Linked DNA regions of Cricetulus griseus. The protein of the gene in region 1 binds, or shares a complex with, the protein of each later gene. Links are inferred from orthologs where the notes say so. Each region holds a gene or a part of one and is shown in the gene's direction. Other genes may lie near its edges. The genes, in order: Arl1, Golga4 and Arfip2.

The links.
Region 2: the proteins of Arl1 (region 1) and Golga4 are in contact, whole or in part, in a crystal structure (PDB 1UPT), measured with the Homo sapiens proteins. The link is inferred for Cricetulus griseus from reciprocal best matches to the Homo sapiens genes ARL1 and GOLGA4. Residues at the interface, in NP_001168.1 of Homo sapiens: Ile49, Gly50, Phe51, Gln64, Trp66, Ser73, Ile74, Pro76, Tyr77, Cys80, Tyr81, Ser83, Glu115; in NP_002069.2 of Homo sapiens: Thr2173, Glu2174, Glu2176, Tyr2177, Lys2180, Val2181, Glu2184, Glu2190, Thr2193, Lys2196, Val2197, Thr2200, Val2201.
Region 3: the proteins of Arl1 (region 1) and Arfip2 are in contact, whole or in part, in a crystal structure (PDB 4DCN), measured with the Homo sapiens proteins. The link is inferred for Cricetulus griseus from reciprocal best matches to the Homo sapiens genes ARL1 and ARFIP2. Residues at the interface, in NP_001168.1 of Homo sapiens: Glu17, Arg19, Gln38, Ile46, Ile49, Gly50, Phe51, Asn52, Val53, Glu54, Thr55, Gln64, Trp66, Ile74, Tyr77, Cys80, Tyr81; in NP_001363487.1 of Homo sapiens: Phe205, Thr212, Lys216, Thr217, Asp220, Asp278, Ile281, Lys282, Phe285, Leu286, Glu288, Asn289, Lys292.

The regions. Positions count from the first base shown.
Region 1 is NW_023276806.1:154,781,080-154,784,724, forward strand, and holds part of Arl1 (ADP-ribosylation factor-like protein 1), read left to right. Parts: intron 1-75; coding exon 76-187; intron 188-3,187; coding exon 3,188-3,366; intron 3,367-3,645. UniProt on the Homo sapiens protein: GTP-binding protein that recruits several effectors, such as golgins, arfaptins and Arf-GEFs to the trans-Golgi network, and modulates their functions at the Golgi complex.
Region 2 is NC_048597.1:225,566,229-225,569,973, forward strand, and holds the start of Golga4 (golgin subfamily A member 4), read left to right. Parts: upstream 1-1,280; 5' UTR 1,281-1,498; coding exon 1,499-1,576; intron 1,577-3,745. UniProt on the Homo sapiens protein: Involved in vesicular trafficking at the Golgi apparatus level. May play a role in delivery of transport vesicles containing GPI-linked proteins from the trans-Golgi network through its interaction with MACF1. Involved in endosome-to-Golgi trafficking.
Region 3 is NC_048596.1:94,063,259-94,067,003, forward strand, and holds the start of Arfip2 (arfaptin-2), read left to right. Parts: upstream 1-1,341; 5' UTR 1,342-1,491; exon of another isoform or gene 1,492-1,596; intron 1,597-2,271; 5' UTR 2,272-2,313; coding exon 2,314-2,412; intron 2,413-2,631; coding exon 2,632-2,728; intron 2,729-3,391; coding exon 3,392-3,510; intron 3,511-3,682; coding exon 3,683-3,745. Other genes in the region: Timm10b (mitochondrial import inner membrane translocase subunit Tim10 B), read right to left, coding at 582-758, 922-1,017, 1,165-1,194. UniProt on the Homo sapiens protein: Plays a role in constitutive metalloproteinase (MMP) secretion from the trans Golgi network. May have important functions during vesicle biogenesis at certain cargo subdomains, which could be predominantly utilized by secreted MMPs, such as MMP7 and MMP2.

The DNA.
Region 1 (3,645 bases):
CAGTCCAGCATGTAAATTAACATGTTAAGATATTTTCAAGGGATCATGGGTTTTCCATTTTTGAATTTTCTTTAGGCCATACTGGAGATGTTACTATTCAAACACAGACGCAGTCATCTATGTAGTTGACAGTTGTGACCGAGACCGAATTGGCATTTCCAAGTCAGAGTTAGTTGCAATGTTGGAGGTAAGCAAAAATTTAAAAGTTAACATTGAACATTTAAATGAGGAACTAGAGGAATCATTTACATTTGTTTACTTTTTTCTTGTATATATTATCTAGTACAATGGTATTTAAAAAAATATGCAGGAACAGTTTTCCTCCATTTTCCTATTTGTTTTTTAAGGTTTTATTTCTTTCTTTGTATGAATGTTTTGTTTGCATTATGTGTGAGTACCATGTACATGCCTGGTGTCTGTGGAGGTCAGAAGAGCGTATCAGATTTCCTGGGAGTGGAGGTATAGGTGATTGTGAGCCAATGTGTGGGTGCTAAAAGTCGAACTTGGGTCCTTTGCAGGAGCTCCAAGTGCTCTTAACCACTTGTTAACTCTCCCTACCCCCTTAAAGATTTATTTAAAAATATTTTCCTGTGTGTGTGTGTTTGGCTGCATGTATGGTTCTACACCACCTGTGTGCCTGGTGCCTGAAGAGGCTGGAAGATGATGTGCCTAAACCAGGGATTGTAGATGGTGGTAATCTGCTGTGTGAGTGTGGGAATCAAACGGGGGTTCCCTGCATGAGCAGTGTGTGCTCTTAACCAGAGTCATCCCTCTATCCCATTTTGTCTGTCTGTTGCCCTTCCTCCCTTTCTTTTCTTTTTAAAAAGTACACGTTACTTCCTATTCCAGAAATATAGTTGGAAAATGGATGGAATAAAAATCCAACCCTGAAACTTCCTGTAAGGTAGATTTCATTACTCCTTGAAAGTTCAGAGCTCTTTTAATCTGAGTCAACTTAAAAAGAAAAAAAAAATATTAGTGTGTATGTGTGTATGTGCTTGCATATATGTACATGCTTCTACATGGAGATCAGAGCACAACTTCATAGAGTTGGTTCTCATCTTCCTTTATGTAGGTTCCAGAGATGTATTTTTTACATTTTTAAAATTATTTTTTTGAGGTTATAATTACATCATCCAAGAGGCCCCATCCTCCCTGAGGATTTGTCCTCAGTTGATGGTTGCTAGTGAAAGGAGTATGTTTTCTTCAGTAGTGTAGCTACTGCTAAGCACCCATTATTCTGTAAGTAAGTCCAATTAAACTCATTAGGTCACTGAAAAATGTTCCAGGACATCCTCCAAAGCCACAGAGAAACCCTGTCTCGGACTCCCCCCCCCAAAAAAAAAAAGAAAAGGGTTTCTCCTTTCCCTTCTTCCCTCTAAGACCTTCCTTATACTTCTCTCTATAAAACTCATGGCCTCTGTTTTCATTAATTGTTGTTACATATAATGGGTTTTTAAAACAGCAACTTTAGTCCTGGTTCACATTATATGAAGTATTTCAGGGAAATGGATTACTAACTTCATTTTTTAATCTTGAGTCATGTGAGATTATTAGGAGTCATTTGCAACCTCACTGAGACGGGCCTGTACTTACATGCTGTATTCTAGTACTTGGGAGGCAGAGGCAGAGGATCATGAGACCATCCTGGACTTCATAGTTCAAAGTGTTACTCAAAACCACTGTGGGACTTTGAAGATCCCCCATGGATGGCCTCGCCCTCCCTGTGGAGCAGAAAGGGGTTGGGATGGGGGTGGGGGGGTAAGGAAGGAGGGGAGGGAGAGGGAACTGGGATTGACATGTATAAAAGAAGCTTATTTCTAATTAAACAAAACAAACAAAAAAACCCACTGTGGGTGCAGCTCAGCAGAGCACATACCTAGCTTGCACAAGACCTTGGTGTATTCCCTTACTGGAGAGAAGAAAAGTTCACAGAGCAAGAACTGGAAGTCACGTTGTTAGGAAAGAGCTTTTGTGTTCATCAACAGACACTGTTGTGTAAAGTATAGGTCTAGTGCCAGCTTGTACTGTTGACATTAAGACATAAACACAAAGCACTTTAGGTTTTTACCTTCTTTGTATATGTAAATACATTCTAAATTAAATAATGTGTAAAATATGGAAATCAGCCACAGGAATGTGTGAGTAAGTGTAAAATACGAGATTGGGAAAGCCTTTCTGAATCAATGGAAAGATTTACAAAAGCAAAGATAGGTTTAAGTGTAACTCAAAACCCTCCAAGTTCAGATGTGCTAAATGTCACCAAATAAAACAGGAAATCAGGACTGAGCAGAAATCAGTGATGATTGACTAGTGCTTCTTCTTCTTCTTTTTTTTTTTTCTTGAGATAGGGTCTTTTAGCCTTTGTGGGTCTGAACTTGCCTGTCATATATTCTGATTAGCTTCAGACTTGAGCCATTTGCCCCAGCCTACCAAGTACAAGATTGCTGGTTTTTTGTTTTTGTTTTTGTTTTTTGTCGTCCCTCCCCACCCCCCCAGACAGGGTTTCTCTGTGGCTTTGGGTGCTGTCCTGGCACATGCTCTGTATACCAGGTTGGTCTGGAACTCACAGAGATCTGCCTGCCGAGTGCTGGGATTAAAGGTGTGCGCTGCCACTGCCTGGCTAAGATTGCTGTTCTTTCCTTCTTACTCTGCTGTGTATAAATGCTTCTGCCTTATTTAGCATGTGTTAACTGTGCACGGTAGTGGCTTTCTTTGACATTTTCCTGTGTGTTCGTACTGTATTTCGTTTCTATGCACTCCCTTCTGTCTTCCCTTGTTCTCTCTCCTTCCATTCCCACTAACCCCTTCTTCCCAACTGGCCTCCCTTCTGTGCCCGTGTCTTTTTGTTGTTATTGTGACCCAGTGAATTTCATTAGAGTTGTTTATAGGAGTACGGACACACAAACACACATTCTTTTTTTTTTTTTAATATTATGTGTACAGTGCTCGGCTTGCATGTATGCCTGTAGGCCAGAAGAGGGCACCAAATCTCATTACAGATGGTCGTGAGCCACCATGTGGTTGCTGGGAATCGAACTCAGGACCTTTGGAACAGCAGGCAGTGCTCTTAACCGCTGAGCCATCTCTCCAGCCCCAAACACACATTCTTAAACACTATTTTTTGTTTTTCCTCAAGTCAGTGGTGCAAATTAAAAGTAAATGAAGCATTTTCCATTTTATTTAGGAAGAAGAGCTGAGAAAGGCCATTTTAGTGGTGTTTGCAAATAAGCAGGACATGGAGCAGGCCATGACACCCTCAGAAATGGCAAATGCACTTGGGTTACCTGCTCTGAAGGACCGAAAGTGGCAAATATTTAAAACATCAGCAACCAAAGGCACTGGTCTTGATGAAGCCATGGAATGGTAAGTGTCTGTGTTTGAAGCCAGCTGTGCACGTGTATGGGAAGCTTCCTATAGGATAGTGTTGTTCTTCCCCAGTGTCTTGGTATGTAGCCCAGGATATGATCCTGCTTCAGCCTCCTTAGTGTGGGACCAGTGTGCATTACCACACTGGCATATGATGCAATGTTGATTTTTCTTGGGGATAACATTTAGATAGCAGCTAATAGGCAACTCTTCCAGCTTTTTCTCCTGTTGTCTTCATGAGTAAACGTCTTCATTCCAGCCACACTAACACGACTA
Region 2 (3,745 bases), on another chromosome or scaffold:
CTCTCTCCTCTCTCTCTCTCTCTCTCTCTCTCCCTCTCTCTCTCTCTCTGTCTGTCTCTCTCTGTCTGTCTCTCTCTCCTCTCTCTCCCTCTCTGTCTTTCCCTCTCTCCCTCTCTCTCTCTCCCTCTCTCCTCTCTCTCTCCTCTCTCTCTGTCTCTCTCTCTCTCCCTCTCTCTCTCTCTCTCTCTCTCTCTCTCTCTCTCTCTCTCTCTCTCTCTCTCTCTCTCTCTCTCTCTCTCTCTCTCTCTGTGCCTGAGGTCAGGAGCTCACTATGTAGTGTAGCTCTGGCTGGCCTAGACTCACAGAGCTCAAACAGCCTCAGCTTTTCAAGTGCTGGGATTAATCGTGTGTGTCAGCATGCCCAGATCTTCATGTACTCTCCAAAGTATCAGAACTGAGCGGATGCCATTCAGTCAGTAACGGGGCCGAGTCCAGAGTGGTGGTGAGGAATTTCACACGGGGCATTGACAAGCAGCGGTCACAGGGTATTTTGTATCGTGCAAGTGTAGGAGCCTTTCTAGCAGATGGGAGTGTCTGGGGTGGTGGGGAGACGGCTCCTCCGGAGTGCAGCCGCAGGTATTAACCACTAAGGGCTGAGAATTCGGACCTGTAGACCTCAGGCAGCTACTCTGGAGGCAGGAAAATCACTTCAGCTCATAAATTCGAAGTCAGTCTACCGACACACGGTCAAATTGTTTATTTTTTGAGGTAGGGTCTCATTGTGGCTCAAACTGGCCTTAAAGTGTTAAGTGGCCAAGGATGACCTTGAACTTAGGGTCCTACTGTCTCCACCTCTGGATGTTGGGTTTACAGGAATACACCATCGCACCCAGTGTATGCGGTGCTGAGGATAGAACCCAAGCTCTCCTGCGTATGGTAGGCAAGCACTCTACATCCTCAGCCCCAGGACCTTCTCTTAAAATCAACCAAGCAACTACCCACCCACCCACCCACCCACCCAAAGCCCTCAGAGAGAATCCTTACAGTAATCGTACTAACGCACACTGAACACACGCCCGACTCCCTAGCTCCACCCTCTCTCACCCCAGCCTTCTTCACTTGGGTGCTCAACCGGTGTCCCCCCACCCCACCCCACCCCGCTGGGTTGCGCAGCTCCGAGAGCCTCCGCCGGCGTCAGCGCAGGCGGGATCCCGGCCGTGCGCGCATGCTCGCCCGCGCTCGCCCGCTCGCCCGCGCCTCTGCCACTCTTGTCCTCCGCGGCGCTCCGTAGCCAGCTCTTGTCAGGCTCCACGTCGGCCGCGCAGGCGCCCTGGGCGCGTTCACCTGCTGCCGTTGTCGCCGCCGCCGCTGACGGGGGCTGGATGGGGCGCCGAGGGCAGCCAGTGGCGCCCAGAAAGAAGCGACGCGGCGGCGGCGACGCCGACGCCCGCAGGACGAGCGCCCCGAGGTGCCCGCGAGCTCCACAGGAAGGCGGCGAGGCCCGGGCCCGGCCGCCCGCGGGTAGAGACGCCGCCGGCCGCTCGCCGCTCGCCGCGCCATGTTCAAGAAGCTGAAGCAGAGGATCAGCGAGGAGCAGCAGCAGCTGCAGCCGCCGCAGGCGTCAGCTCCTGCCCAGGTGCGCCCGGTGCCGGCCGCCGAGCCGCCGAGCCCCGGGGGGGGGTGACGTTCCTCCGTGACCTTTGACCTCCGCCCCCCAGGACCTGGGTCTGCGGCCGTCCTGGCGCGGTGGGGACCCGGGCCTGGCTACTCCCACACCCCCGTCCCCGCCGTGACGTCTGACTTACTCGCGGTGCTCCCGCTTAGGACCGGCCCGGCCCGAGGATGGGGTGCGCGGCGGGTTCGAGTCCGGCGTGGGGTGTGACCTCTGACCCCCCCCCCGGCCGCGGGACCCGGAGCCCGGGACGGCCAGGATCCCCCGAGTGCCCCGCTTGCGAGCGAACCCCCGATGGAGCAGCGAGGGCGGACGGTCGAGCCGCTCGCCTGCCGGAGCCCGCCCGGGGCCGGTTCCAGCCTCCGAGGCTGTCACGAGTTAGTCACTTCGCAGAACCTGGGTGACGGCGGGCGGCGGGCGGGCACGGAGCCTGCGGCCGCCCGGCTCTTGCTGCTTTTTAGGGGGCGTGTGTGTTTCGGTCCAGGGAAAGGGGGGCGTGTTCGTGTGAGAAGCGGACTCAGGGTTTCGACGCCACCACCGATGCTGCTGCTGAAACTCCCCGGGCTTTTCTGAGTCTCAGTGGGTTGAGCACCGATTCCTCCCTCCCTTCCTTTGAGGGATCCTAGAACCCTAGAAAGTCGGTGCTCCAAGAAAGGCGGCGTCTTGGCTAATTGGGGGAGAGCACTAAGGGTGTGTAAATATAAAACGACCCGGCATCCTGTTTCTAGAAACTTATTCCGAGAAGGTTTAGGATGTGAAAAGATTTAGTTGTACGGTTTTCATTTTAGTGTGTGTGTGTGTGTGTGTGTGTGTGTGTACGTGTGTGTGTGTGTATACGTATGTGTGTGTGTATACGTATGTGTGTGTGTATACGTATGTGTGTGTGTACGTGTGTGTGTGTGTGTACGTGTGTGTGTGTACGTGTGGGTGTGTGTGTGTGTACGTGTGGGTGTGTGTACGTGTGTGTGTGTGTGTGTGTGTGTGTACGTGTGGGTGTGTGTACGGGTGTGTGTACGTGTGGGTGTACGTGTGGGTGTGTGTACGTGGGTGTGTGTACGTGTGGGTGTGTGTACATGTGGGTGTGTGTGTGTACGTGTGGGTGTGGAGGCCAGAGGACAAGCGTGGCGTCAATCCTCAGGCATTGTACTTTTTATTTTACCATTTTAAAAACAGTTTTGGATTTAATTCTTTTATCTGTGTGAGTGTTTCACCTGTGTGTGTCTGGATGCCATGCGCATGCCAAGTGCTCACAGAGGCCAGAAGAGGCTGTTGTATCTCAAGGAACTTGAGTCATGTGTGGTTGTGAGCCGTCGTGTCGGTTCTGGGAACTGAACCTTGCTTGGCCTTCTGCAAGAGCAACAAATTCTCATCGCCTCTGAGCCGTCTTTCCAGAATCCCTCCCCCAACTTTTTTTTTTTTTTTTTTTTTTTGATATAAAAGTTTCTCCCTGGCCTGGAAGTCACCAAATAGGTTGGTCTCTCTGACCTGAAAACCCTGGGATTCACCTGTCTCTGCCTCCTGAGCACTGGGATTACAAGCATGTGCCACCAACCTGTGTTTCATTATTTTTAATAATTCATTTTTGTTTTACATGCATTGGTGTTTTTGCTTGGAAGTGTTTATGTGTAAAGGTCCCCTGGAACTGGACTTACAGACAGTTGTGAGCTTCCCTGTGGGTCCTGGGATTGAACTGGGGTCTTCTGGAAGAGCATTTCTCCAGCCCCCACACTTGTCTTTTTCAGCCTGGGTTCTGAGATGGAACTCAAGCATTTTGCCATCAGAGCTGTCTTGCTAGCCCTGATGCTGTTTTAGTGTTGGCATTCTGGGGCAGGTGAAGAATTGGCTGAATAAATCTTTCAGGCAGCATTAAGAACAAACACCATTGGTTTGAGTCCCTGCGGGGTATCTTATTGAGCAGTTAACAGATATTTTAACCTCACACAAACCTATGAGGTAGATATTATTCCTCCTGTAGGTGAAGTTGTAAAGCCCAAAGATGACCTAATTGGTACACAGTATCAGAGCTGCAGACAAGTATTGTTTACATAGAATGGTAGATGTTACAGGAGACAGTTTAACTGCAGCATGTAAACTCTGACCTACTTTTTGTGACAAAAAGAAATGTATGTATTT
Region 3 (3,745 bases), on another chromosome or scaffold:
ATTCTAGACAATATTCCCACATTCTTACAGGCTTATCTTTGATCTCCTAAGAATTGGTGGCTAAAGCCTATTGTGGTGCTGTTTTCTTCTTCCTCTTGTTGTCTGATATCACATTCTTCCCCTAGATGCAGCACAATTCTTTTTGTATTACAGCTCAGAAGAAAACTAGTTATTATGCAATATATATTCAGGCATTTGAGTTAGGCTCAAGGATAGCCACTGAGAGCTCCCCTTTTGGAACCAATTTCCCATTGCTATTACTAACCTTAAAACTATGTTTTTGCTGGGGATCTGAGAATGCTGAGTTTGTCCTACTACATTACAGAAGGCAATTTCTCAACTGCCAGGGCTGAGGGGAGAAGATAGGCACTAAATGGCAGAATAAAGGTTGGTACCAATAAGTGGACATAAATAAATTCCTGCCCAGAAAATCAACCAGAGTAAAAACCCGGTTTATTGGCTCCAAGAAAAGGAGCAATAGTGCCCAGCTTTCAGGCTCAATCTTTCTGTACAAATTTCGACAAGCCCAAGGTTCATAGAGGAGCCCATCCAAGCACCTTCTCTCCTGGGGCAGGCGATGGCTAGCTGCCTGATGGCGAGTCTCTGGGTTGTTCTGCAGTAACACCTGGCACGGCCGAGGCAGCCTCGTAGTCCGCGATGCGGCGCTGGACAAGGGCGGGCATGAGGTGGACGTAAGCGGCCATGAGGCGGTGGTTAGAATGGATGAGCTTCCCAGCACAGCTGTGTAGACAGGCCTCCTGGAAGGAAGACAGAGGTAAGCAGAGACCAAAAGGGGTCCTGTCAAGCCCTCCTCTCCGGGGCCCCAGCCTAGGGGTGAGGTCATGGGAGACCGAGATGCAAACGGGGGGTGGGAGGTGGACACGTCACGTTGTCAACCTCTGGGGTCCCCACAGTCCCCACCTCCTCAGCGTCCAGAGCTCGGTGGTGCAGGCTGGGCACACAGCGCTGGAAGCACAGTTCTGTCATCCGATTGTAGACCAACAGGAAATCTCGCAACTAAGAGAAAAGCGGATCAAGGCTTCACCACCGCTGAGGGTTCCTGGCGTGCGCAGTGCAGCCTGCCTTCCCCACTGGGGGTTCTTGCATGTACCCCAGAAAACAAACCGCACGTCTAACCCCGAGAACAACTTAGCTCTTACTCACGTTTCTTAGTTGCTGCTGCTGCTGCTCCATCACGCTCGGGGCACGCAGCCCACTTTACTTCCTCCCTGGGGGCGCGGAGTCACCCCGGAAGTAAATTCTCCCTAGTCACCAAGAGCTTCAAGGCGTGGTTCCAGTATCGCCCAGCCCATGTCTGCTAACGTCACCTCCGCCCTTTTGCTCTGCGACGTGGCCGGCTTCTTCTGCCCAGAGGGCACGTCACTTCCGCCGAATCTCTGACCTGCTGCTAAGATCGCGACGGGAACTGGAACCCGAGGTCCCCGCGCGGTCCGGCCCTCGCGCCCTGAGGGGAAGAGTGGCCCGGCCCAGGTGAGAAGGACATACTTGTACGAAAGGAAGTTGAATGCACGAACCTGTGCGGAGGGCAAGATGCCCTGAGCCCTTGGCAAGGATGAGGACACACCTGATGCCCAGGTGTGTGGGGGGGTGGTGGAGGGGACCTCTCACATCTGGAAGGCATAAACTGACTTTGGAAGGGACTGCCTGTGTCCTGGGAAAGAAGCTTTTAACTGACACCGGGAACACACCAGCTGCTTCAACTAAGGCCTGGTGGGGAGGGCCTGAGGGAGGCAGGTGCATGAGATGGAGAAAGGAGAGACCATTTGAAGGAAGAGGGGAAGGAACATCAAAGGATTTGAAAGACCAGGGATTGCAGAGCATGCTTGAGTGGCAAGTGAGCATCCGAGTCTAGGAAAGGGTTTTGCCTTCTGGTAAACATGCCTATGCAGGGCCAAGTTCCCAAAGAGCACAGACATTCCCCTCTGGCCCTCACTGCTGTAATCCCATTGCCTCAGTATCTGACGCATAGTAGGCACTCACTAAGTGTTTGTTGAGTGACTGAATGTGTAAAGGTTACTAAAGGTGAGGTTGGGGTTTGTGAGAAGACACCCAAGGCTTTGGTATACATGCATCTGTAGAAATAATGTACTTGGAAGAGAAGAAATACACATCTCCAGGAAAGTAGGGGCTGATCTCCAGGGACACCCAAGTCCTAACAGACAACCCCTGAAACCTATTAGAACACAGGGAAGGCCTCCTTGTTCTGGAGTGCTGGCCAGTTTCCAGAATTGTCTGTGTTGGGCTTTACAGCGTGCTGGGGTGGAGACCTTGACTCCAGTACCTTCCCTAGCCATGACGGACGGGATCCTAGGGAAGGCAGCCACAATGGAGATCCCAATCCATGGAAATGGTGAAGCTGGGCAGCTTCCTGAAGACGATGGGCTGGAGCAGGTGCTTCTGTTTGATTCTTCTAATTGTTTCAATTTAGCAATCCTGACTCTTGAATGTTTCGCTTTTCCCATCCCAATAGACTTCATTTAGTTAGTCCTCCTTATAGTTTTCAAGTCGTCATTATGATTCTATACAGACTTTACTATATACTGTCTCTATCCCCAAAATATTTCAGCCACCCCCATGTTCCTGAAGTGCCCCCTCTTCTCTGATCTATAGGACCTCCAGCAGGTGATGGTGTCAGGACCCAACCTCAATGAAACTAGCATTGTGTCTGGTGGCTATGGGGGCTCTGGTGATGGACTCATCCCCACAGGTATGAATGATAAGAGACAGGAGGCTTGAGTGGGAGGGAGACTAGGAGGCACATAGAACACATAGGAAAGCGTGAATCATGGATTGGAGAAACTTGAGAACTGCTAGTGTGAAATCCATAGACTGTCCAATCCCAGATCAGCTCTCTGAGCTCATCATCTGCTTCCCACTTGCCATTTAGATTCTAGCTTTCTCAATTGTCTTTTCTTTCCCTGGTGCCACCACCTGAGCCAAGTTAAGACCTATAAGTCACAAGAGCTCTGCAGCTTAAGGCTGATTTACAACTTTGTGAAGCTTCTCAGAGTTTTATAAGAGTCTTATACTGACTAAAATTCTACTTGGAAATACAAACCAGCTTCCCTGTTTTCTGTGCCCACCAGCTTTGACCCTTCCAGTCCCACTCATCATGTTTGCTTCTGTTTCTTCCTTCCCTGTCCACCCAACAACACTCCTACACGACCCCAGGAATGCCAAATACATACATTGAGTTGCTTTGGTTTTCGGGACCTAAGTCCCCGTTCCCCCTAATGAGCAGAAGAATTCAGTTATCTAGATTTCCTCTTTTAGAGAGGTCATTTCATGTGCTGGGAGGGAAGGAAGTGAGGTCACAGAAGTATCTGATTGTATGTGAGAGAAATTGGTGTTAGAGAACTTGATCCTTTAGGGTCTGGCCGCCATCCATCTCACAGCACCTCACCTTCTGGCCCTGGTGATGAGGTGGCCCGGGGCATCGCCGGAGAGAAGTTTGACATCGTCAAGAAATGGGGCATCAACACATATAAGGTAAGAGTCGAGTGCCTCTTCCCAGAAACTCTCCATGGGTACCTTTTCCTTTTCCCCAGATCTTAATACATAGTCTTTTGCTATGACTAAGAGAATGGGGGTGTTGGAGTAGTTACTTGTCGGGGTTGGGGTGGAGTTTAGATTTCTGACCTCCCACCCACTTCCCAATCAGTGCACAAAGCAGCTGTTATCAGAGAGATTTGGCCGAGGCTCCCGGACTGTGGATCTGGAGCTA